Linked DNA regions of Oryzias latipes. The main gene of each other region encodes a partner of the protein of the gene in region 6 in a complex. Links are inferred from orthologs where the notes say so. Each region holds a gene or a part of one and is shown on either strand. Other genes may lie near its edges. The genes, in order: smarcc2, pbrm1, smarcc1, phf10, dpf1 and smarcd1.

Region 1 (3,500 bases), about 9.6 Mb from region 6:
TTTGTGTGAAGAGCAAGAGTGCAGCGAGTTCCATGAGGGAGTGGACAGAACAAGAAACGCTACTACTCCTTGAGGTAAAACATGTCTCACGTTCATTGTTGTGGCTGTGATTTCCTGTTTTTTCCTGCTAAAACTGTGAGACATTGTGTTATGACTCTTTACTAGTAGGACAGCTGAGATGGCGCTAAATCACGTCCTCCTTTCTGTCAGGGTTTGGAGATGTACAAGGATGACTGGAACAAAGTGTCTGAACACGTGGGCAGCCGTACACAGGACGAGTGCATTCTGCACTTCCTGCGGCTGCCCATTGAAGATCCATACTTGGAGGACAGCTCCTCATCGATGGGCCCTCTGGCCTATCAGCCGGTACCCTTCAGCCAAGCAGGAAACCCCGTCATGAGCACTGTGGCCTTCCTCGCCTCTGTTGTTGACCCACGTGTGGCGTCCGCTGCGGCCAAGTCGGCTCTCGGTGACGCATTGATTCTACATGCACTGGTGATGCTTGACTAACGTTCTCCACATTTACAAGCATGAACTTCCTCCCTTTCAGAGGAATTCTCTCGGATGAAGGAGGAAGTTCCTGCTGCGCTTGTTGAGGCCCACGTACGGCGGGTGGAGGAAGCGGCGAGGGTCAGTGGCCGACAGGATCCGCTCTATGGTTTGGAAGGTAGCGGCATCGCAGGAACTGGCTTGGAGGAAGGAGAGCGTCCTGGTAGGTTTGAATCCACTGCATTCAAACTGCACAACACAGAAACCCTACGAGTGCAGCGACATTTAACTGCTGGACTTGTCTTCCCCTCAGAGGAAAGCAACGATGAAAGCAAAAATGACAACCAGTCAAATGAAGAGAAGAAAGAGGCCAAAGTATGTTGCATAGTTTAAAGTGGTGGAATTCAATTTGGGTAGGCATGTCTTAATCTGGGTTGGTTCACAACACAGGACAGCAAAGAAGGAACGATGGTGGAAGAGGAGAAGCATACAGAGAATGAGAAGAAGGAAGAAGAGAAAGGAAGAGAGGCTGAAGGAGACAGGGAAGGAGACAAGACAGAGGCGGAAATAGGTGTGAAACGATTTCTTCATGGACGGAGAAAACTGAGTTTTTCTCCAAGTTGAAAGATAAAAACCATTTTTTTTTCTTCCAGGCAATGAGGAGAAGGAAAAAGACAGAAAAGAGGAAACAGAAGAGGGACAAAGAGAAGGAGAGAGTGATGGAGAAAGAAAGGCGAAAGTGGAACGGGATGTAGGAGAAGGAAACCTGGCGACTGCTGCCGCCTCTGCTTTAGCAGCTGCTGCTGTCAAAGCCAAGGTGAAGTGAACTTCATTTCATCGCCTTCAGCCACTTCTACAACATCTGATTCTTAATCACCTATTTTCCAGCATTTAGCCGCAGTGGAAGAGAGGAAGATCAAATCCTTGGTGGCTCTGCTGGTGGAGACCCAAATGAAGAAGCTTGAGATTAAACTACGACATTTTGAAGAACTGGAAACCATTATGGACAGAGAGAGGGAGGCTGTGAGTCAGACTGGCAGAAGATCAGATCACTGAAGAAGTCCCAGTCTTAGTGTGTTCTTCCTCTGTTTGCAGCTGGAGTACCAGCGGCAGCAGCTGCTCGCCGACCGCCAGTCCTTCCACATGGAGCAGCTGAAGTACGCAGAAATGAGAGCGCGTCAGCAGCACTTCCAGCAGATTCAGCACCAGCAGCACAGCCAAGCTGGGGGCCCCCACACCAACCAGGCTGCCCCGGGCCAGCCTCCACAAAACATTACTTCAAGTCAGCAAGCTTCCAGCACACCAGCACCGCAGGCAGCCCCTAGTCCTGCACCACCAGCATCTGCAGCCGCGGCCCCTGAGTCCCAACCACATCCAGGGGCCCACACCTCTCCGCCCTGCCCACCTGGTCAGGTCCCAGCCGCCCACTCCAGCACTACACCTGCACTCAACGGTGAGTTCAGAATGAAAGCAGTGACAGGACGCTCTGAGCCTTCAAAAAAAACTACAGTAATGTTTCCCATCATGCAACTGTCTGATGACATCATGATCCAGTTTTAATAGGAAAGGCCTCCTATTTTATGGTAAAGGCTAAATCATTATTTTATTATTAAAATGACAAGTACTGGGTTTGAGAACATTTCTACTCAAATGGAATCGATTTTTTTTATAATGTGCACCAGATCAATAATCTTTTTAGAAAATTTCTAGGTATTTTATGTTAAACTGTTCCTTCCTAGTAGTTTTTAATGTAGGACACCAACCTTTTCACTAACATTTAGTTGCACCTTTTCGGTTACAGTGACTAGTTTTTTTCAAAATCTAAAATTTTTTAAAAAGAAAATTTGACAAAGGATTCATTTAATTGAATTGCTTTAAATAAAAAATCAATTAACTCGATTGATTAGAACTGACATGGATGAACTGTGGTGACTTGTGTAAACAGTGAGCTGCTGAAAGGATTTTTAAACCAAAAAAGTCAAAAACCAGAGTATATATAAAAAATATATAAATATATTTTAACAATCTGCAAAGTCAAACGTGATGTGTCAGACCGAACACAGCCGGCTGAGCTACTACACTCAGGAGATGTTAACATGCAGTGTTAAAAAGATTTAAAAACATCAAAGTCCCAAAGCTTACTCATTCACACAGGTTTTTGCTTTTCGTTGCTTGGTACCAATGACTGTATCCAAGAACTGGACTCAGTCAGTGTTATGTCACTCACAGAAAATGGTTTACTTTCAATTACAATCAAATTAAGTTAATTTTGTCACCGTTCTTTTGGTATATGCACGTTGGCATGTTGGAACCAGATAATCTCAGTAAGCAGTGATTGGATGTTTCTATGGCAAACACTTTCACCATTCAGGATTGAACTTGTTGGAAGTCCACTTAAAGTGGGCGTGAAAGAATCTGTAAAGTAAACATTTCAAATGTTCAACAGAAGACTATATACTTAATTTGATGCAAGGCCACATAGTTATCTGATTGATCAATTAATAACTTGACTAACTCGAACTACGGAATAATATCATCAGGGCTCCAGACTAACTTTTTTCACTAGGAGCACAGTGGCCCCCAACTGAAAGTTTTAGGGGCACAACCAGAAAATTTAGGGGCGCATACCGTAAATCAACATGCTAACCAAATATATTAATTTCCACTGTATTACTAATAAATACTTTAATAATAGATGCAGAAATTACAATGTGCTGTTTCAAATTCAGTGTCACATTTTATTCTGCCCTTTTGAAGATGCAACAAGAAGGTAAACTGACAGCACCATCGCTGTCATGACGGTACAAATAAGTAAAGAAAACGGATGGAAATTTATCTTGGTGACACCAAATAGGTGCAGCCAAGATGCACAATAAGCATGTTTGAGATCACCCAGATGGACTCAACGCTGCACAGATCACCTGGTGTGTGACGTATATTTTTGTTTTTGCTCCAACATCACCTGTCAATCAAAACAAAAATATCACGAGAAAGGGGTGGGAGCAAGGCCC
Region 2 (3,500 bases), about 11 Mb from region 6:
GACAAAGCAACCCCAAATATATACTAATACTTTATTTAAAAAATGTTCATTGTACCAAATTTTATTGCACGTCACACCTTTCCATTTCTTATTAAATGTTTGTCTCGTTTATTTTGTGTTAAAATGTGACTGAAGACAGTCCATGAAGCACGCAGTAGCATTGTCTCAACAGAGAGGGCGCTCGAGAGCTTGCGTTTGTTCCTCATTTGTTACTAATAAAGTTTATTGAATGAGAGCCAGAATGCTATTTTACGTTTTGTTTTGACTGTTCTGGCAGAAGATTTGTGATTTAATCCATGACAAAATTACTTCTTGTTTTATTTTATTCTGAAAAGATGTCTTGTTGGGTCTAATATCAAATAATAATAATAAGAATATAATAAAGAACTCTGGTTTACTTTTAAATCTATGCTAATTTTGGTCGAATATAATATTCACAAATATTAATTCTCTGTTTGAAATTCCTGTTTAATTGTATTCTTTTCAGAGTTAAATCTGTATATTAATAGTATTTGTAATTCTGAGAAGCAAAAAGCAATCAAAACCTTATCTGTGTGTAAAAGATTCAACATTTTCTTGTAAAGTTTAACCCCCTGGCTTATTTCTGTTTCTATTCTTGTTTTTTCTTTTCAATACAGATGTATATTTAATATTCGCAATTGTGTTCTTATTGCATACCTAAATGTGATTTTTTTGTAAAATGCTATAATGTGCAATAAAGTTTATTTAAAAAAAGGTTTTGTTTTGACTGACTGTAGAAATGATGGGTGTAATCTAGCGAAGGAGAGTCAGTTGATGGCGGTACCCCCATTGACTGTCAACAGCTTCTCTTAAATAAATTTTGTTTTCCTTCTCACTTCAACATCTCCGTCTCTTTCTCAGGACAGTTAACACGTTTTACAAGTGCAATCTATTGACGAGACAACAATCTGGTATTAATTAGCAACTTTCCTTCTTGGAAATGTATTTTTACGTAAAAATTGAATTAGAAGCTCCTCACAATTACTTAGCAACCCCTAAGCTACTGCAGAGGAAAAACTCCTGGAGCCGCCCCTGAGCACAGGTGTATGAAGGCAAAAAAGATGAGGATGCAACACAAAAGGAGAGTAACAGTTCTGGCAGTTTAGCTTCAGATTGCAGCTTTCAAATGTACACTGCGGAGTCTGCTGCATTTATGAGGGGTTACCTGACACAGGCGTCATGCCAGGATTAAGCAATCCCATGGGGGTCGGGGGAGGCACCACCCCCATCAGTGCCCCTACTGGGGTACCTGATTTAAGGAAGGTCTGATGCTGGGTCCTGTCACGCTCCTGCTGCTCTGCTACTTTAGCTGCTCGCTCTGCAATGCAACAAAAAACAGTGAGTTGGCTTTAAAAGACAAGAAAAACAAGATGCATTAATTTTTCACAGCAAGAAAATCCTCTTACCCTCGTACTCTGCTTTCCTGGAAGTCTCCAGGTTCCTCCACTCCGTGCCAACCAGCCGGCTCAACTCCCCAAAGGAGAAGTCTGGGTGCTGAGCTTTGATGACAGCCCGCATCTCGCTGCTGAACAGGATGTATCCACTCATGTTGATCTTTCGCTTCGATCCCTCCTTTTTTGACAGCCCCTTTATGGATTTAGGGGTGGACTGTAACCAAGCACGTTAGAATGCCACATAAAAACGATACAGCGCTAAACACAGACCATTCCCCCCCTTCACGGATTCACTCTGACCTGTGGAGGCGTGTAGGACAGCAGATCCAGGTCACCAGACATGGAGGACTGCATGTGAGACTGGTCGCCCAGCTCGCCGTCATCATCCCCAAGTTCTTCAAGTTCTTCATCGGTCATGTCAGCAAATTTAGCCTCCAGCTTCTCGATCTTCCGATTGAGCAGCGGTGAGGGTTCTTTCTGAGGAACTATGAGCTTCCTGTGCAAAACCGAACGCATAAAAGAATTCACTCTCAAGAATTCAAACCAAAACCTAATAATTAGAGGACTAAAACGGTGAGAAAAAGCTGTTTTCGTGAACATAAAAACACTGGAATATATATAATAATATATAATGTATAAATTTTATAATACATAAAATGTTCACTTATGTTCACCATTTTCCTGTAATTCTTTACAAATATCGTTTGTATAAATGTAAGTTTGGACTCAACAAGTTGTCAAACTTCATCCAAAGTCCTTTTAGAACTTTTCACATTTATCATTTATCATTATACCTCTGTTTATGATTATTTTTTAATTTATCAGTTTGAAATAAATAAAATGAATAAAAGGAAAATAAATTAGATTAAAATTAACAAATTAAAAACACACCAAAAAAAAAGGTTCACCTAAAATAATAGATTTCATCCTCTACCACCTTTCCAGAGAGCGAGAAACGCTTCAGACCCTTGAACTTCTTCATCTGTTTTTCACTTTCAATGTAGCGACTCTCACAAAGCAGAACATCATCTTCGGGCACTTCAGTGGGCCGACATGACAGGAACTCTTTGAAGGACAAAACGACACACTTTCCTGCAAAGAGGAGGAATAGCCTGATAATGACTGCATCTTCAAAACAATAAACCATCACGTTGGAGCAGATGCTTCCAAATCACAGCAGAAGGCTACCTATGATGCAGGTCATTGGACAAGTCTCCTCCAGGTTGCTAAGGAACACTTCCTTCTTGTAGAACATCTTGGTGGGTTCGTGCTCCGTCTCTTCAGGATGGATAAAAATTGGGCCAAAGAAGTAACCCGCTCCATCTCGGATCCACATCTTCTCAATTCTGTTGAACACATAAAGAAAAGTAAGTGCCAAAGTAAACAATTCAAATGGCTTCAGAAAGATTCAACAGATGCAGCTTTGTCCTTTCAATCTGCATTTCAAAATAAAACAACATTATGTAATATTTCAGAGCATAGAGTACAAAAACTTTAAAGACCCACTACAATGAAAAAGGTTGTTTTTAGTGTTTTTAACACGGTTTTATGGGACTATTCTAAAGTTGGAGGAAAAATTCAGATGAAAATAGCATATTTGAGTATTTCTTTGTTCAAATTGTTTGTAATCAGGGGCAGACGAAAAATTGACATTTAAAAAAGCTTGTAGCTGTTACGCAGAAACTATTAACAGCCGGCCACAAGCTCCCAGCTCTGCTCTATTCTGATGCATCCACTGTCAGACAAACGGATCCGTGAACGTCTTTGTTTTACTCGTCTGAGCTGGAATCTGGATCTAAACTGCACGGCTGGATAACTCTGAGACTGCTCACCATTTTTGTTGCACCAGTAACGTGAGGTTGGGGTTGTGAGCTAGCGGGAGAGAGTGTGAACAAAGCGATGATGGGAAATGAAGGGAGGCTTACTCCATGCCAACAACCTCACCTGCAACTCATAGGCTAACCTCTAATGAACTACTGTCGCTCTACAGAAAAAGTTTTTTGATTGGGGTTAAAATAAACAATTATTATAAGATCACCAGGAACACTTTAAGAATAGATCAGTAGCTAGTTGGAGTGGATCTTT
Region 3 (3,500 bases), on a different chromosome or scaffold from region 6:
GAAGCCAATTTGCAAATTTGCTTTTCTTCGTACCAGAATCCGTTAAAATGGTTGAAGAGATGCGGTTAGGGTTACAAAGAAGTTACAGTTTAAAGAGCGTGTGTTTATTTAGGTGACGCTGGCGACATCTCCAGCGTTTAACGCTTAAAAGAATCATTTTTATTCATTAGCCAATGCCTATATCCAAGGGAATAGTTCAGGTAACCTTCAACACCAGAGCTTGACCTACAGTGTTGCTGTTCTCTGATTTACCGTAACTCTATACAGTTGACGTAATTCCAAAAGATTCTGAAGCTGAAGCTTTGAGCCAAAACTCAACATTGTACAGCAGTGAAGTGTCGACACTATCAATGTAAACTTTATACTTGGTAGACGTAAATGTTAACCAATACGAAGTGTAGCATTCCAGCACAAATCTGCTTTTCTCTGATCGGAATCCACTGGAATTACAAAAATGACACACGAACAAAACAAAAACCCCAAATCTTCCACCACGACATGAATGCAGAATAACTTTCTGCACCTAAAACAAAGGTCAATTTATTTGTAGTGTACCATCTATAGGGATACCAGAAAATAAAACATTGGCATTAATAAACTGTATAATTTATTTCAGCTGGGCGGGCCACAGTTTGCCCACGCCTGGGTTAACCTCAGTCAGCTAGCCTGACGTAAACAAACTTGATCATAACTGGGAGCACTGGATGATGTGTTGATGGCATTTTTTTCTGAATCAGTTAAGACATTTCTGGAATGAAAGCTGGAGCCAAACCAGCACCCCAGCTGTCAGAAACACGACTTCCTGCTACATGAAAAGTTTGACCACATTGGTGCAAAAATAATAAACAACAGCGTTTAGCTGACATTTGGAGTAAATACCAGCTGTCTGCTTCGAGTCAGACGGATGTGAATTCCCTGAACAGGTTTGCTTTGTGGTTTTTGCTTTAAAGACACCTCCCCTCAGGAAAGAGGTTCAGATGAGTTTGTCACCAAAAACAAAGAAAACTATGTTTACCTAATAGTCTGAAAAAAAAAGGCGATACCTTTTGAAATTAGAAAAACAATGTAAACATAGAAGAAGACTTTGGTACTCACACATGCCGTTGGGAGCTCCCGGGTGACGGGGAGGCATCATGGGAGGCATTCCCCCAGGAGGGGGTCCGGCAGACGGTGGCCCGGACATCATACGCCCAGGCATTGGCTGACCTGGTCCCATCGGTCCTACAATGAGGAAAAGACGAGGCCACTTTATTGGAATGCCACATTATGAACAAGAAGAAAGCTAAAATGAAATTCGATGATTCTTCCGAAAACCATTGTCTTTACCCGTCGGTCCAGGGTGGTGGGGGGCCATGGGGTGGTGAGCCATGGGCGGGTAACCAGGGTGCATTGCTGCAGCAGCAGGAGGACCTCCAAGATGGGGTGGAGGTGCTCCGTGGTGAGGTGGAGGCGCTCCGTGGTGGGGTGGAGGCCCTCCAGGGTGCATGCCTGGTGGAGGGGGTCCAGAATGGGGTCCAGGACCCTGGGGCCCGTGGTGATGTCCGGGACCGGGGGGTTGTCCCTGCCCTTGGGCCTGAGCAGCGGCGGCGGCTGCAGCGGCAGCTTGCTGCTCCATCTGCTGGCGTGCCTTCATCTCTGCGTACTTGAGCTGCTCCATGTGGAACGCCTGTCGCTCTGTGAGGAGCTGCTGCCGCTGAAGCTCCAACTGCAAAGAAGGAGCAGTGAATCACAACAACAGTCAACATGTCACACTGCAACAACACACGATCTTTCCAGGTACAGTGGTCCCTCATTTATGGCCGGGGATACGTTCCATTAATAACCTGCAACTGGTGAAATCCACCAAGTAGGATTCTAGTTTTCAGGCTGTAAAACTCCCCAATACATTTTAGACACTTCTCTCAGGCAAACATGAGAATAGACATGTAACATAAATTCCGGGCGATAGAGCGGACCAGATTACAAGCTGCACCCTTTACATTTTCAAACAGTTAGCTGTTTTATACACACACACACACAAGCCGCACCTGTATATCAGGCGCATGCGCCCGTATAAACATGTTGTAGTCTTTGTTCTGCACGTGTCGTACAGTGTCAGAAAGGGAGCTGCAAACGCAGATTTCATATTGTCCTTTCCGGCATTGTAGCCGATTTATTTGAACACACTCACTAACAGCCAAACAGCATGGATCTCACTTCTGTTCACAGCCCCCTCAGTCATGGTTGAGGAACTTTCCACCCACGATTCCCCACTTCCCATGAGTCTAAGAGGCTGAAGGCGAGCTAACCCCCGGGTCACCACTCTGTGTTGTAGATTGAGGATGTGAATGTGCTGAAACCGCGCACACGTGTGTGAGAAGGAGGAGGGAGTGCGTGCAGCGGAAGGAAGAGAGAGCGCGCATGCACCGAGTGAGAGCAAGTGTGTTGGGGGTGATAAATGAAGGTTTCCCCCAGAAGAAGATGAATGATTCTTTATTAACCCACTCTGGAGGCTCTGAGGGTCCTAACGGGGAAGTGAACAACCTTTGGCGGAGAAGAAAGAAAGAAAAAAAAGTAATCGCAGGAAAGGTTCAACACATGATATATTTACAAAGAAAGACGGTACACAGAAAGAGTTTTCAAAGTTTTAATGGTATACCTAAGCTTTTCTTTCGGAACAGCAGCAATATGGTAGTAACAGGGCTGGTTTAAAAAACATGAACGTAAAAGTCATTGAGAGCTTTCTTCATCTTTGTCCTGTGCACTGAAACCATGGCAGTCTTCCTCCTCAGTGTTGGATTGGAATAGCCACAGATATTCTTCGATATTCTTCTCTCAGTGTCTCCTTCGTTGTCGCTGTCAGTGTCACTCTTATCCTGAGGCAAATTCACTCCTGAGCTTGCGCTGTCCTTTCCGTCACGCAGCAGACCGGCTTTTCTAAACCCATTGGTGATGGTGGATTTTTTCACACTGCTTTAACGATTGCTTTTAACTTGAAAGCTGCGTCATATTGTAGTGACGGTCACGTGCTTGTTGGGTCTAATAGCAGCAAGGGATTATGGGATGCGGCCAAAATAGGGCTGAGCATTGGTGTTTCTTTTTGTTGCACTGTGACTGAGGGGTCAAAGAGCAGAAGTGACATTCATGCTGTTTGGCTGCTTGTGGGTGTGTCTAAATAAATCTGCTTGATGCTGGAAATGAGAGTATGCATTCAGCTTCGCCCATATACTCCTCCTGAGACTTTTCAGAGTCAAAAGGTGCATGGTTTCTGGATAGCTTTCCATTGCAGTCAGTTATGTGAGTGACAGTTCAGATGACTGACAGCTAGATCCAACTGCTGTTCTTCTTGAATTCCCCGTGAGTATCTGTTTGTGTTATTCATTCTCAAAGCGGGAATTTACATTAATCTTGCATCCCCCCGTCTCACGCTTACCTTTTCTGCTTGAGCGCCCCTAGCGGGCGTTAGAAAAAAGTGCACAAATTAGCTGCATCATTGAATAAGCCGCAGGGTTAAAAGTGTG
Region 4 (4,028 bases), on a different chromosome or scaffold from region 6:
ACTGAGAGACTACTGTCACTTACGAAGAGCTAACAGTTATGGAACGTACCTTTTATAGTAATCTTGGAATTGACCTGGGATAAGAGCAACAGGGTAGGGTCCTGTTCTGGTTAGTTCTGGAGCAAGAACTTTGAACCTTCCCTGGGGCACCTGAATAACCTGAGACAAAAAGCAGAGGACAAAAAGGAGTTGCATCAGTCAAAAGCTCAACCAACGTTGCACTGATGCAGATTTATTAAACCATCTGCCATTAGACTTACGTGAGTCTGGAGGTCAAAGTAAGCTCTCCTCTCTTCCATTCGCTCCCTGTTGAAGATGCTGTTAAACTCAGCAGCTTTTTTTGCAGCTTTCTTTATGTACTCAGGAACCTTGCTTGCCTCCACTTTCTGAGGGTTCTGCTGCTGCATTTGCTGCAAAAGCACAAGAGAGTACAACTATTTGTTCGTGCGTTTCGACAATTTCTAATAAAAACTAAAGGTTGTTCTAGTCTGGTGTTCTTACAGAGTACTCCTTAGCTATTCTCTGACGCTCCTTTTCCTGCAATATCACAGAGTACTCAGAGTGTTTGGTTGGATACTCCTTTATCATCAAGTCGATCACTTCATCGCTCCGCAAAGCTGTCAATCCTGCATATAAATACAACAGCACTACATTATGTAAGAAATATAAATAAATGTATGAAGTCTGTGCATTAACAAAGAGTTTTAGGGTTGGCTCGTACCCAGGGTGCACTGCGTCTCAGTGATAACATTTTGCTCACGTAGGTAGAGCTTTTCTTTGTGAGACAGGTCTCTCCTCTCCATATCTGCACAAGAATGTTAAAAAAAATTCCCTGGTCAAAACATAATTTGGGCAGTTGCTAAATCAACCGCACTTAAACATTTCCTTTCCTGATCATTTTGTGAATTATTGTTCAATTCTTACCAGGATATTTGCGTTTGAATGACGTGACACCCAAATACTCGCTGATTTGTTCTTGCAGCATGTAATATTCTCCTGTATCATCAGGAGGCCATTTATACTCTATTAGGTTTTCTGCTGGGAAATAAGTCACCCTAGATGAGGAGGTGGGGGCAGGAACAACACATTAGATTTATAAGTTGGTATCTGACGCAATTACTTAAGAATAATGGCAAATTGTAATGCAAAAACAAGTAGCCTACCCAAGCTCTTGGCTGAAGGTGTCACAGCTCCGAGAGCTGTCCCCTGAACCCATTCTCCTCCTTTTCGGTGGCTGGCTCCCATCATTAGATACCTCATCAATTACATCTTCCTACAGAAGTGGAAAAAAGATTCACCAACATTTTTTTTCAAACAGATGAACACCAAAATATATAGAATCGAAAAGCTTATTGTACGGAGCCCCTAAAGGGCCATTGATGAAAAAAAAAAAATGGAGGAAAAAATTTTTTTTTTGAAGTAAAAAAAAATTCTCTTGGAGTAAAAAAAATTCTTTTGGAGTAAAAAAAATTTTTTTTGAAGTAAATAGGAAAAAAAAAACTAACTGGTGCCCACCTGAAACTAACTGGTGCGCACCAGTTAGTTAGTTTCAGGTGCACACCAGTTAGTATCAGGTGCGCACCAGTTAGTTTCAGGTGCGCACCAGTTAGTATCAGGTGCGCACCAGTTAGTATCAGGTGCGCACCAGTTAGTATCAGGTGCGCACCAGTTAGTATCAGGTGCGCACCAGTTAGTATCAGGTGCGCACCAGTTAGTATCAGGTGCGCACCAGTTAGTTTCAGGTGCGCACCAGTTAGTATCAGGTGCGCACCAGTTAGTATCAGGTGCGCACCAGTTAGTTTCAGGTGCGCACCAGTTAGTTTCAGGTGCGCACCAGTTAGTATCAGGTGCCCACCAGTTAGTTTCAGGTGCGCACCAGTTAGTATCAGGTGCCCACCAGTTAGTTTCAGCTGCGCACCAATTAGTTTCAGGTGACATTATGACATTGTCAGTAATATTTCGTGTTTTCAGAAAGTTTATAAGGTCCATATCCTCAACTTTAGCCATTCTCAAGACAACTGTAGCTACTTGGTGCACAATGAGCAAGCAGGTCAACTATCTGATATCTTCTGATACTAACTGGTGCGCACCTGAAACTAACTGGTGCGCACCTGATACTAACTGGTGCGCACCTGAAACTAACTGGTGCGCACCAGTTAGTTTTTTTTCCTATTTACTTCAAAAAAAAAATTTTTAGCTCAAAGAATTTTTTTTTACTTCAAAAAAAAAAAATTTCCTCAAGTTTTTTTTTTTTTCATCAATGGCCCTTTAGGGGCTCCGTATTATTGTGAAAATGGGAACATGTGCAAAACTAGTTTGACTAGGATTACACAGGGAAAAAATTAGCAACACTTTATATTTAAATGGCTACACAATCTAGTTTTTTTTTATTTATATATTTTTTCAACGTTGCAAACTAATAGAGAAATACACGAATAATAGGAGCAAATTACTTCAAGAGGAAGTAATTTGAGCACATTTGAAAACAAATGATTTTGCTAAAAGTGGCTGACAGTTGTCCTAGTGAATGGAAACGTCCGTTGGCTAGCTAGCTATCTGTTAGCAAAACATCGTCATGTTTCCCCGTAAACAACAGCTAATGGATATTTATCAAAGTAGAAAAAAATCACCTTCATGGAGTGCGCCCCAGGAGTAGCGGGACTGCTATCACTTGGTGGTCTAATAATAGGGAATAATGTAGCCATTTTAAGATAAATAATGCCCACAGCTAGGCTAATGATTAGCGGGGGAAACTACGTTTCTTCTTCTTTGGACAACCACGGACTCGGTTGACGTTTGTGTAAATTCAGAGCGCCACCTCCTAGATCCTCCAAAAAATATGTTAAAAAGAGAGAATTTGTACACAACATGCAAACCAATTAATTTACATATAGATAAAACTCTCAGCGAAATGGGCTGTTTTTAAAATTTACTTAGAACGGCGAGAATTTATTTTTCATTAATTGAAACCATAAGAACATATCCAAACATCACCCCCACGCGGTAGTTTGAGGACTATGTGGCATAAGTGTCATTTCAGAATGCTTTTATTTTGAAGAAAAAAAACCCACACACACCGTACAGGAAGTTGGAGGAGGAAATCATAGAATCCAAGGAAATCACCAACAGGACTATTTCCATCACTTAGCAAGCTAAACAAATAACAGTTTCGCCTTTCTCTGCCTTGCAGCTTAGCTGACACACCGAGGATGTCGGAGTCTTACGGTAAGGAGGCTGTCTTGCTTTATACCCGTTAGAATCTCACACACAGATGGCAGGAAAGGGATGATGAGGTCCCTTCGTAAACAAATAGCTAGCTGGCAGGCTAACCGAGCCACTGAGGAGTAGGAAGGTTTTGGCCTTTAAACTCAAATGTCAGCGTTAATAAATCTGCCTTCCGGGTACAGGTGTATTAGTAAAGCTTTATAATGCAAGAAGCTGTGACTATAGGAGATGCTATTGTTCCCGGGATAAGCACTAGGACACAAAGCAAGAGACTCCCGCTTTTCTTTTGCAAACGCAAGTGATGATAGGATATCTCTGTGTTTTGTGAGGCATTGCTCAAATTACACTATGCTACAACTGTTCAATCAATTGAACCAACATTAAACATGATAATTATCTTAGTGGGAGTAAAGAATAAATATATATATATAAGGCTTTGTTCGATCTGTTTACGACACATTTGTCTTGATTTGTATAGTGTAGACATCAGATGTGTACATGTCAACAACTGTATCAAAAAAAAATTAAGAATAGTTGAGTTTATTAATAACAAGGCAGCATATTCAAACCCTGTTTGCTTTATCTATGTTACTACTGTGTTCCCTCTGCAGACTTTCTGTTTAAATTCCTAGTGATTGGAAATGCTGGAACAGGCAAATCCTGCCTTCTGCACCAGTTCATAGAAAAGAGATGTAAGTTTGCTTCAGTTGTAATCACTAGAAAAAGCTTTATAATAATGACACAGTAATTGCCCGACTCTTTTATTTAAATATCTTTAAGGTCCCACTCAAAGACAGTCGTTA
Region 5 (3,500 bases), on a different chromosome or scaffold from region 6:
TGCCACTGAGTCTTTCACACGCTCTCTGAAGAAAATGAACATAACAGAACAGACCTCGCTTTTGTTTTCACGTGTCTTCATGCACGCACGCACACACACACACACAGCAGAACAGCATGCACGTTTGCATTCTAATCATCTGCTCTCAGTGTAAAGCTCCACTTCCAGCAGGAGGGGGCTGATGACACCTAGCAGGGGAGCAACAGTTCCAATTAGCGACCCTGGTGTCTGAGCTGGTGTGTGTCTGTGCGTCTGTGTGTGTTTCCTGTGTTGTGTGTAGGAGGATTTTCAGAATACATTGTTAACACTTGATTATCCGCCCATAGGATGCACAAAAAGAATCTGTGCATGTGTGTGTACGGGGGGGGGGGGGATCTCTGTCTAATCAAATTCTCTCCAAAAGAATAAAAAAACAAAAGTTTCTGAGTACATAGTTTAATATCGATGAGTGTGTATGTTCACTTTAAAAAGTGTTGCTTTGCCAGATGCTGTCTGATTGTGACCACATGCCATGCTGGCTTCAAGACGCACAACTGTGTCGCTCTGAGACACACTAACAGAAAGGTTTTCACTTCCTGACACGCAACTGCTTGATCTTTGACGAGATTTCACAGATTGAACTTGTGAACAGGCTCTGGTTTGGAAAAGGCCATTATAGTTTCATAGTACAAAAGAAAAAAATAAAGGTCTGTTGCCAGCGTACCCGTCCTTTGGTACGATTCTTGCGCTTTGGAACATCTTCCTCCATCTCGTCCACCTCCAGTTCATGAGGGAAATCTCCAACCAGCAGCTTCTATGACACAGAGACAGACTGACGGTTTGGTTTGGTCATTTTAGAGCTCCACAATATGAAAATAACTTGAAATATGCAATATTAGTGATAAATACTACAATACTGATCTGACTAGTGATACATAAACAAAAAAACATTTAATACATAATTTCCATTTTACTGCACCAGTTTTAATTAATAAAAGTCAACATAACTTAAAATACACAACAAGTTAACTCACTAGGAGGCAAGTAAGAACTTGCATATTGGTGAAACACACCAAAGAACAATGATCTACATTTCTGGTTGTAGGCCTAATGGCTAAAACTAATTTAGACAACAATTAAGAGAAATGTCTATGAAGACTCTCATTCATCCAGGTAGATTCAATCAGTAGGTTTAAAGGTTGTCATCTGGACTTGGTTTTTTAAAGTTGAAGACGTTTCACCTCTGTTTCAGCTCTTATCCAAAAGGCTTACAAAGCCTTTTGGATAAGAGCTGAAACACCCAGTGAGGGTCCTTGGGCAAGTTTCTTAACGCTACTGCCTCCCGAGCGCGGTTCGGCTGCAACTCACCACTCCCCCAGGGGATGGGTCAAATGCAGAGAAGAATTTCCCCATTGTGGGATTAATAAAGTATCAATTATTATTATTATTAAACACTAACATCTACAAGATTAAACCCAGAATTTGCATGTTAATTTAAACCAAATTAAATTAAAAAAACATTTTAAAGAAGTTGGTTGATGAAGCCCCTTATTTGGAATGACAGGGAGAGCACATGTTTGACAGGATTTTTCCACCGCCTATGAGCTTTCAGATGACAAAATTTAACATTCTGCCAGTTCCCGAAAACACAAAACAGCAGATGTAAAAAAAACAAACGTGAAGAAAGGCCTCACCTGACATTCACTCATCGGCTCTTCCTCCTTGGTTTCCACCTTCTTGTCCAGGGTTTCCCCAGCAAGCAGTGACTCCAAAACAGGACCATCTGGGATCCCCCCCTCCTTCTTTAAAGAGGCTTCATAGTCTGAAAACAAACAGCAGCAATCTCAGTGTTATGGAGAATGGCTAAAGGAAAAGGAAGCAACAAGAATAGCAGCGTCTGCAACATCCAGAGGCTGGACTCACTTGGAACACCAAAGCTAAGGTTAAACAGTACCAAGCTTAAAAAGAATGTTGGTGATCATTTCATGATGGCTGAGCAGATGGGTTCCAGCATGCACGAATACGAACATGAACATTTGTCTGTGCAGCAAACATGTCTGAGGTAAAACTAAAACATGGGAAAACTCCAGCACAACTGGAGATCTCTGAAATACTAAAATGTTTATATTTGAGTGAAAGCAATAAAGTCCTTCTAGTGAGAATCCAACTATATTTCTGTCTGCTGAGTATTTGCACCAAAAAACCTTCACACAAAAACAAGTTTTCAACTTTGATGCAAAACTTTTCAGTTGCATTTTATGATCTGACCCACACAGACTAGTCCTGCTCATGCCTGGAAACCAAAATGTTCTGCTGTGAGACTGAAGCAGGTGACGGTCCAGACAAACCACAACGAGTCACAGGAGTCCAGAGATCTCTAAACTCTGGTCTTCTGGATGATGTTTCTGAGTGCCTCGTGTTCATGAGAAACTTCTCCAAGACATGCAACACTGACATCAGAAGACAGATGCTCTTCTTTCTTCAGATTCAGGTGATAAGGATAGAAACCCATGACTTGATGTACTGTTTTTCCAAACACTCACCAATCTTAAACTCTATAGGAACAAGCCGAGGGTCCTCCAAGATGTTTAGCCGTCTCTTCTTGCGCCAGCAGCGAGCTGGATATGTGTAAAGCTGACCCGGGGCGTGACCTGAGCGTAAGACACAGAAAAACAGAGAAAAAACACAATTCAGGCCCTCCCCTCAGAATACTCCGGGTGACATCAGAATATTGCCCCAGTGCACACGTCTGTTAGTAAATAGCAAATTTCACTGGGAGACAATTGCACAAATTATTGTTGTTCCACACACAACAGTTGCTCATTTTTATAAAAATTTCTTGGAGTTGTGTGTTTCCAGCCTCCAATTAACTGTTGGAGTGCACTGAGGTCCAAGCCTGATCCTGTGATTCCAAGAAAGCTCTTTTGTGGTCAAATCAGGAAAATAACAGAGAAGCATATTAATCATTTTAAGATAAATGCATTCGTGTTTGTCCTTGTTATTTTTAACCAGGCCTTAATTTCACATCATCTTTTGTGAGTTAAATAGGACATTGCTTTTCACACACCAGTGTTGTGCTCATATTTCTGATGCATCTAGAGTTGATGGATTGTAGCTCCATGTGTCAAACAAACTAATATTGTTTCAGCAGCAAACACAGAGAGGCAGACTCCCGTGCATTTACTGCTATGCCAGTGGCATTTTGCTGCCTACAGAGCCATCTGAGTCTCTGCAGAAACACTCAGAAAGGGGAGGCAGAGGCACACATGCATGCACTTAGAGTTGTGGAGGATAGGAGGTCTGATGATGAGGAGGATGAAGACAGAAACTATCACAGGAAGAGATGAGGCGGGAGGACAAATTATTGTACAGAACTATTGTTGTTTACTAACAGCTTGGAAGCACAAACACATAAACAAATTCCCAAACATGCACACAAACACACAGACAGAGGCACACACCTGGCCCACGGTGGTTCTTCTCCATCCAGATATAACAGTTGCTTTGAGCCACGCCGGTCT
Region 6 (4,238 bases):
ATTTTCCCAATGGGCTTTTCATATTCTAACTGGATTTATTTTAATTGTGTAATATTCTTAATCATTCCTCCATGTTATTCCACAACTTCACCCAAAAGCAAAAATGCACATCGTTTTTTGTGTTGTCCTTACACAAGGTTGTTTGATGTCATTTTTCTTTCTGCAGTACAAAAGAAGTAAAGACCCATGAAATTAGGTTTACTCTGATTCTCGTATATACTAGCAGAAAACAGAAAGCCCAAACAAACAGGCATCACAAAATACCAGGTGTTGTGTTGTTGAAAAGAAAATATTTTCTACTCCAGATATTGTGTTTATCTCAACATAGTCAAGTTCTGGACTTGTAGAGACAAAAAGTGTCACATGTTACTTAGCAAAATGATGGAAAGAAACAATCCTGTAGCTGAAAACGTCATCATCAAGATTTCTATTTTATAAAACCTTCTAAAAACATTCAGAAATAACCTGCAAATATGTACACAAATAGAAGTTAGTTAAAAACATACATGATTGTTTTTTTAAAGGATATGATACAAAAATATGAATAGTTACATTAATAAAAATCAAATGATTTTCTCATTTGCAAAACAGTCATATATTATGAAAAATGAAAAATATCAGCAATCCACTGTTGAACCAATTGATTTTGTACTGTAGCCTAAATTAAAATGAAAACTTTTATTTTTAAATGTGTTCTTTAAAAGTTAATAATGTTTTGGGGCATTTTGTTTTGCTCTAAGTTTTATTTTGTTCGATAAGAGAAAATTGAAAAACAATGTATTCTGTTTTGATAAATGAAAGACATATAGAAGGCAATAGAACAGATTAGTGAATTCACATGAAAAGAAAGAAGACAATTTAATAGCGTCCTAAATTACTCCAATATGGTTGGCCTACCCGTTGACTTTATTCTTGTGCATATAATCATGTAAATTGAATGCTGGTTGTTAGGACTTGTCAGGACTGTATTACTCCAGCTAATTAAAATGTTCTTTCTTTTTTTATTTTAATTGTTTTATTTTCTACAGACCAGACAGATTTTTTCGTGTTTTTAATATATATTTTAAACTATATATGAATAATATTAATACATATACATGTATATATTGATATATATTAATACATATTTTAAACTACATGAACTATACTTTTATAGTTTTTCTTGTAGTTTTCATGAGTAGCTGCCCAGCCTGTTTGTTGTTTTTTGCTCTTGTATTTAAAAAAAATAGCACGAAAAACAAAACAAAAAAACTTCACGAAAAATACTAAAATATTATAAAGGAACATACTAAATGTTTTTTTTAAGAAATAGCCTATATTACGCCTTCATACCCCACAATTATCCTTTGTCTCTTAATGTGGGCAATCGTGCAGTGTCAAAAGAGAACAGTAGAGGGCGCTATCGCAAAGTGAACGCCTCAGTTGCTCTCGCGTTAGTTCCTTTGCTCCACCGGAGGCGACATCTAGTGAGGAGATGGCGTCCAGAGGGGGGTTTCAGTCTGCACCGACTGGTGGTGGTGGAGCTGTTGGACCTGGACAACCTGTACCCGGTGCTGGACCAGGCATGGGACCCGGGACTCCCACTGGAAGAATGGGTCCATCTTCGGCTGGTCAGAACCACATGTACCGATCTCCAATGCCTGGGCCTGGGTACCCGGTGAGTTATCACTCCATCTTTGCGTCAATGCTAGCCGGTCCGCTAGTAGAACAAAGCCACTCATCGCTGCTTTGTCGCCAATGGCTAACATTAACCCCCGTCCCCCTACAGGCCCAGTTCAATAGAACTTAAGAAACCCATTAAAAGTAATCGACTTTTAATAAATATTTTTTTCGAGCGCTCTGGCGGACTTTTATGAGTTTATCATGTTTGAATTTGCTAAACCTCCCGCTCGCTAACAGAAGGTTAGCTTACATGAAACTGTGCTACCTCGCCTGCTAACGCTAACTAGTAACTAGTTACTGTGTTACGCTCGTCGTAGTTCTCTAGTTACTGATTGTGTGGAGTTAACTGGCATATACAGATTGATTAAATCTATCAACTTTTATGAATACGTCTCGTTTTGACGGGATCCATTGATTTCCTCTGGGAAATCTGAAAGTAAAAAGTCCGCCTCTCAGGAACCGTACTCTGCGAAAACATCTGGCTGCTACCGTCATGTGAGTCTAAATTCAAATTTGCTGAAAGGTAATTTCCGAAAACCCGCTTGTATTTGTCGCGTCTCTCTTTGCTGACGTTTAAAAATTGGCATTTGATTTGACTTCTACTTAACGGAACCATTGAGTTTTTGGTCAGGTTTTAGGTGTAACTCCGCCGTCGAGAACTTCTACTTGTTAATAATACAACGCTTGGTAATGTTTTGCTATTAAAGTACACGCAACATAGTTTACTCATACATTGCAGTTGTTAAACTTAAAAAGGGGGGGGGGGGGGGGGCATGGTAAACTTAAAAGTCCACCCACCTACCTACCAACCTGAATTAATTTTTTTAAAATAAAGACATGCACCCAATTTTGAGAGGAGTCTTCATACTTTTAACCAATTACAAATGAGGTAAACTCAGAATTTACTTGAGGGCATGATAAATATTTTTAGAAATTGAAGATCTTAACCTTGAAAAACTTCAAAAAATGTTTTATTTTTATAAACTAGCAGGGAATGGAGAAGTATCTTATTTATAAATCTATCAAGATCGTTTGATTCTTAATTGATGGAAAGGTGGGTGGTGATGTCATTGTCTGTATAAGAGAACTGGACTGAGCGAGTCTGACGTCACCCGTAGAAAGAAAAAAAAAACGCCTTACTTTCAGCTCCAGCAAAATGAATCCATCAGTCGCTGTTAGATCTGCAGTACACTCATCCCCATGTTGGAGCCAGACCACCTAAGTAAACGGTGATGAGCCTGCGTCTGTAGGAGTCGACGCTTCTATGGCAACTCCTGTCGCCAATCAGGATTAAGCTTTTATCTTAGTCCACATCTCTGCCACTGAAAGCAGGCTCAGGAGAGTCTGTCAATTAAACATTTCAATCATTAGAGGCGGGGTTTACACACGTTCGAGCAGGTACTTCCTATTTGACATCCGGGGTGGGGGTGGGGGGTCACTTAGTCCAGTTCTATTAGGCGGGGATGTTTTGGTGGAAACAAATTGTGGAACTTGAGGGGAAAGTAACATGGCAGTGAAAAATGATGAGGGAAGTGAGCTGTTAGTGGCGGGCTAACATAAATTAAAATGGAACGTGGAAGTACAGCTAGCTAGTTTGGTGATTCAAATTTTAGTGTGGAGTAGTGTACGCAGCAACCTTTGTCACCGTTTTCAAGAAGTTTAACATTAATGCTAAAGATGTTTGTTGTGTTGAAACAGACTAAGAGAAAGAGTTTACATTTCTGCAGTTCTTTTAGGGTTTTAAAAGTGTCCTAGATGTTCAGACTTCATATTTACAATACCTAGACCAAATCCAAGTTCTTCCCCCACTTCTACTTCTCCCTACACCTACAGTTAGCCCTCCAAATGGAGTGTCATATAAAAATAGTCATTTAGACGTCACTCTGACTCGATGAGGTCATCAATCGTCGTCGGTCAGCCACGTTAGCGGGTGGCGATCAGAAGTAAATAACGTGGGTTTTAGAACATTAAAAAGCCATGCTAAAACAAAAAGTATTTACTTACATTTACGTGTAAACTTCTGTGCTTCAAGGCACACCCACTTGCAGAGATACGTTTCTCTTTTGCGGCACAGAACATGCGGAACACCTTTGCGTTGGAGGGCTCCGTATCCCTCCGCGCAGTGAAGGTTTTCCATTCCAAAAACTAACACCCCTACCCCCAAATGCCCCTACAATTGGAGGGAAAGAGAGAAGCTGGAGGGGTAGGGGAAGAATTTGGATTGAACCCTAGTGGGTTTATGTTGAAGTCTGTTTATCTAAAAGACTTTCGATGAAAAAATGTTTTTCACTAAGGCAGTGATTTGGCTACAGTTGTTTATTTTTGTGATTTAAAGACCAATCCCACTAAAGGATACTGTTGACTGTTCCATCTAGGCCTTCACGATAAATGGCAAATTTCTCGTTATCGCGATATCAAGCTGTGCAATCCGCATATAGCAAAAGACAGCGAAAATCGCAATAAATTGTTACTTTAAATGTGCTAAAACAATCTTATGACAGCTTGTAATTATTTAGCAAATCAAATAAATCTATTTATGGATGAAGCCTTTTTGTTAGAAGCTCGCCTCCCATGAA

The links.
Region 1: smarcd1 (region 6) and smarcc2 share a complex: the UniProt entries of both Homo sapiens proteins name them as parts of the BAF complex. The link is inferred for Oryzias latipes from reciprocal best matches to the Homo sapiens genes SMARCD1 and SMARCC2.
Region 2: smarcd1 (region 6) and pbrm1 share a complex: the UniProt entries of both Homo sapiens proteins name them as parts of the SWI/SNF-B (PBAF) chromatin remodeling complex. The link is inferred for Oryzias latipes from reciprocal best matches to the Homo sapiens genes SMARCD1 and PBRM1.
Region 3: smarcd1 (region 6) and smarcc1 share a complex: the UniProt entries of both Homo sapiens proteins name them as parts of the BAF complex. The link is inferred for Oryzias latipes from reciprocal best matches to the Homo sapiens genes SMARCD1 and SMARCC1.
Region 4: smarcd1 (region 6) and phf10 share a complex: the UniProt entries of both Homo sapiens proteins name them as parts of the neural progenitors-specific chromatin remodeling complex. The link is inferred for Oryzias latipes from reciprocal best matches to the Homo sapiens genes SMARCD1 and PHF10.
Region 5: smarcd1 (region 6) and dpf1 share a complex: the UniProt entries of both Homo sapiens proteins name them as parts of the neuron-specific chromatin remodeling complex. The link is inferred for Oryzias latipes from reciprocal best matches to the Homo sapiens genes SMARCD1 and DPF1.

The regions. Positions count from the first base shown.
Region 1 is NC_019863.2:4,293,630-4,297,129, reverse strand, and holds part of smarcc2 (SWI/SNF complex subunit SMARCC2), read left to right. Parts: intron 1-11; coding exon 12-74; intron 75-210; coding exon 211-469; intron 470-550; coding exon 551-864; intron 865-939; coding exon 940-1,060; intron 1,061-1,142; coding exon 1,143-1,306; intron 1,307-1,377; coding exon 1,378-1,512; intron 1,513-1,584; coding exon 1,585-1,942; intron 1,943-3,500. UniProt on the Homo sapiens protein: Involved in transcriptional activation and repression of select genes by chromatin remodeling (alteration of DNA-nucleosome topology).
Region 2 is NC_019863.2:2,544,331-2,547,830, reverse strand, and holds part of pbrm1 (protein polybromo-1), read right to left. Parts: intron 2,762-3,500; coding exon 2,604-2,761; intron 2,508-2,603; coding exon 2,324-2,507; intron 1,912-2,323; coding exon 1,716-1,911; intron 1,630-1,715; coding exon 1,428-1,629; intron 1,340-1,427; coding exon 1,187-1,339; intron 1-1,186. UniProt on the Homo sapiens protein: Involved in transcriptional activation and repression of select genes by chromatin remodeling (alteration of DNA-nucleosome topology). Required for the stability of the SWI/SNF chromatin remodeling complex SWI/SNF-B (PBAF).
Region 3 is NC_019874.2:27,730,777-27,734,276, forward strand, and holds part of smarcc1 (SWI/SNF complex subunit SMARCC1), read right to left. Parts: intron 1,706-3,500; coding exon 1,327-1,705; intron 1,222-1,326; coding exon 1,096-1,221; intron 1-1,095. UniProt on the Homo sapiens protein: Involved in transcriptional activation and repression of select genes by chromatin remodeling (alteration of DNA-nucleosome topology).
Region 4 is NC_019861.2:24,495,952-24,499,979, forward strand, and holds the start of phf10 (PHD finger protein 10), read right to left. Parts: upstream 2,801-4,028; 5' UTR 2,706-2,800; coding exon 2,631-2,705; intron 1,274-2,630; coding exon 1,164-1,273; intron 1,056-1,163; coding exon 925-1,055; intron 806-924; coding exon 722-805; intron 627-721; coding exon 502-626; intron 411-501; coding exon 261-410; intron 160-260; coding exon 50-159; intron 1-49. Other genes in the region: rab4a (ras-related protein Rab-4A), read left to right, coding at 3,210-3,225, 3,837-3,917. UniProt on the Homo sapiens protein: Involved in transcription activity regulation by chromatin remodeling. Belongs to the neural progenitors-specific chromatin remodeling complex (npBAF complex) and is required for the proliferation of neural progenitors.
Region 5 is NC_019871.2:18,145,050-18,148,549, reverse strand, and holds part of dpf1 (zinc finger protein neuro-d4), read right to left. Parts: coding exon 3,441-3,500; intron 2,631-3,440; coding exon 2,523-2,630; intron 1,802-2,522; coding exon 1,674-1,801; intron 794-1,673; coding exon 704-793; intron 1-703. UniProt on the Homo sapiens protein: May have an important role in developing neurons by participating in regulation of cell survival, possibly as a neurospecific transcription factor. Belongs to the neuron-specific chromatin remodeling complex (nBAF complex).
Region 6 is NC_019863.2:13,904,112-13,908,349, reverse strand, and holds the start of smarcd1 (SWI/SNF-related matrix-associated actin-dependent regulator of chromatin subfamily D member 1), read left to right. Parts: upstream 1-1,438; 5' UTR 1,439-1,474; coding exon 1,475-1,657; intron 1,658-4,238. UniProt on the Homo sapiens protein: Involved in transcriptional activation and repression of select genes by chromatin remodeling (alteration of DNA-nucleosome topology).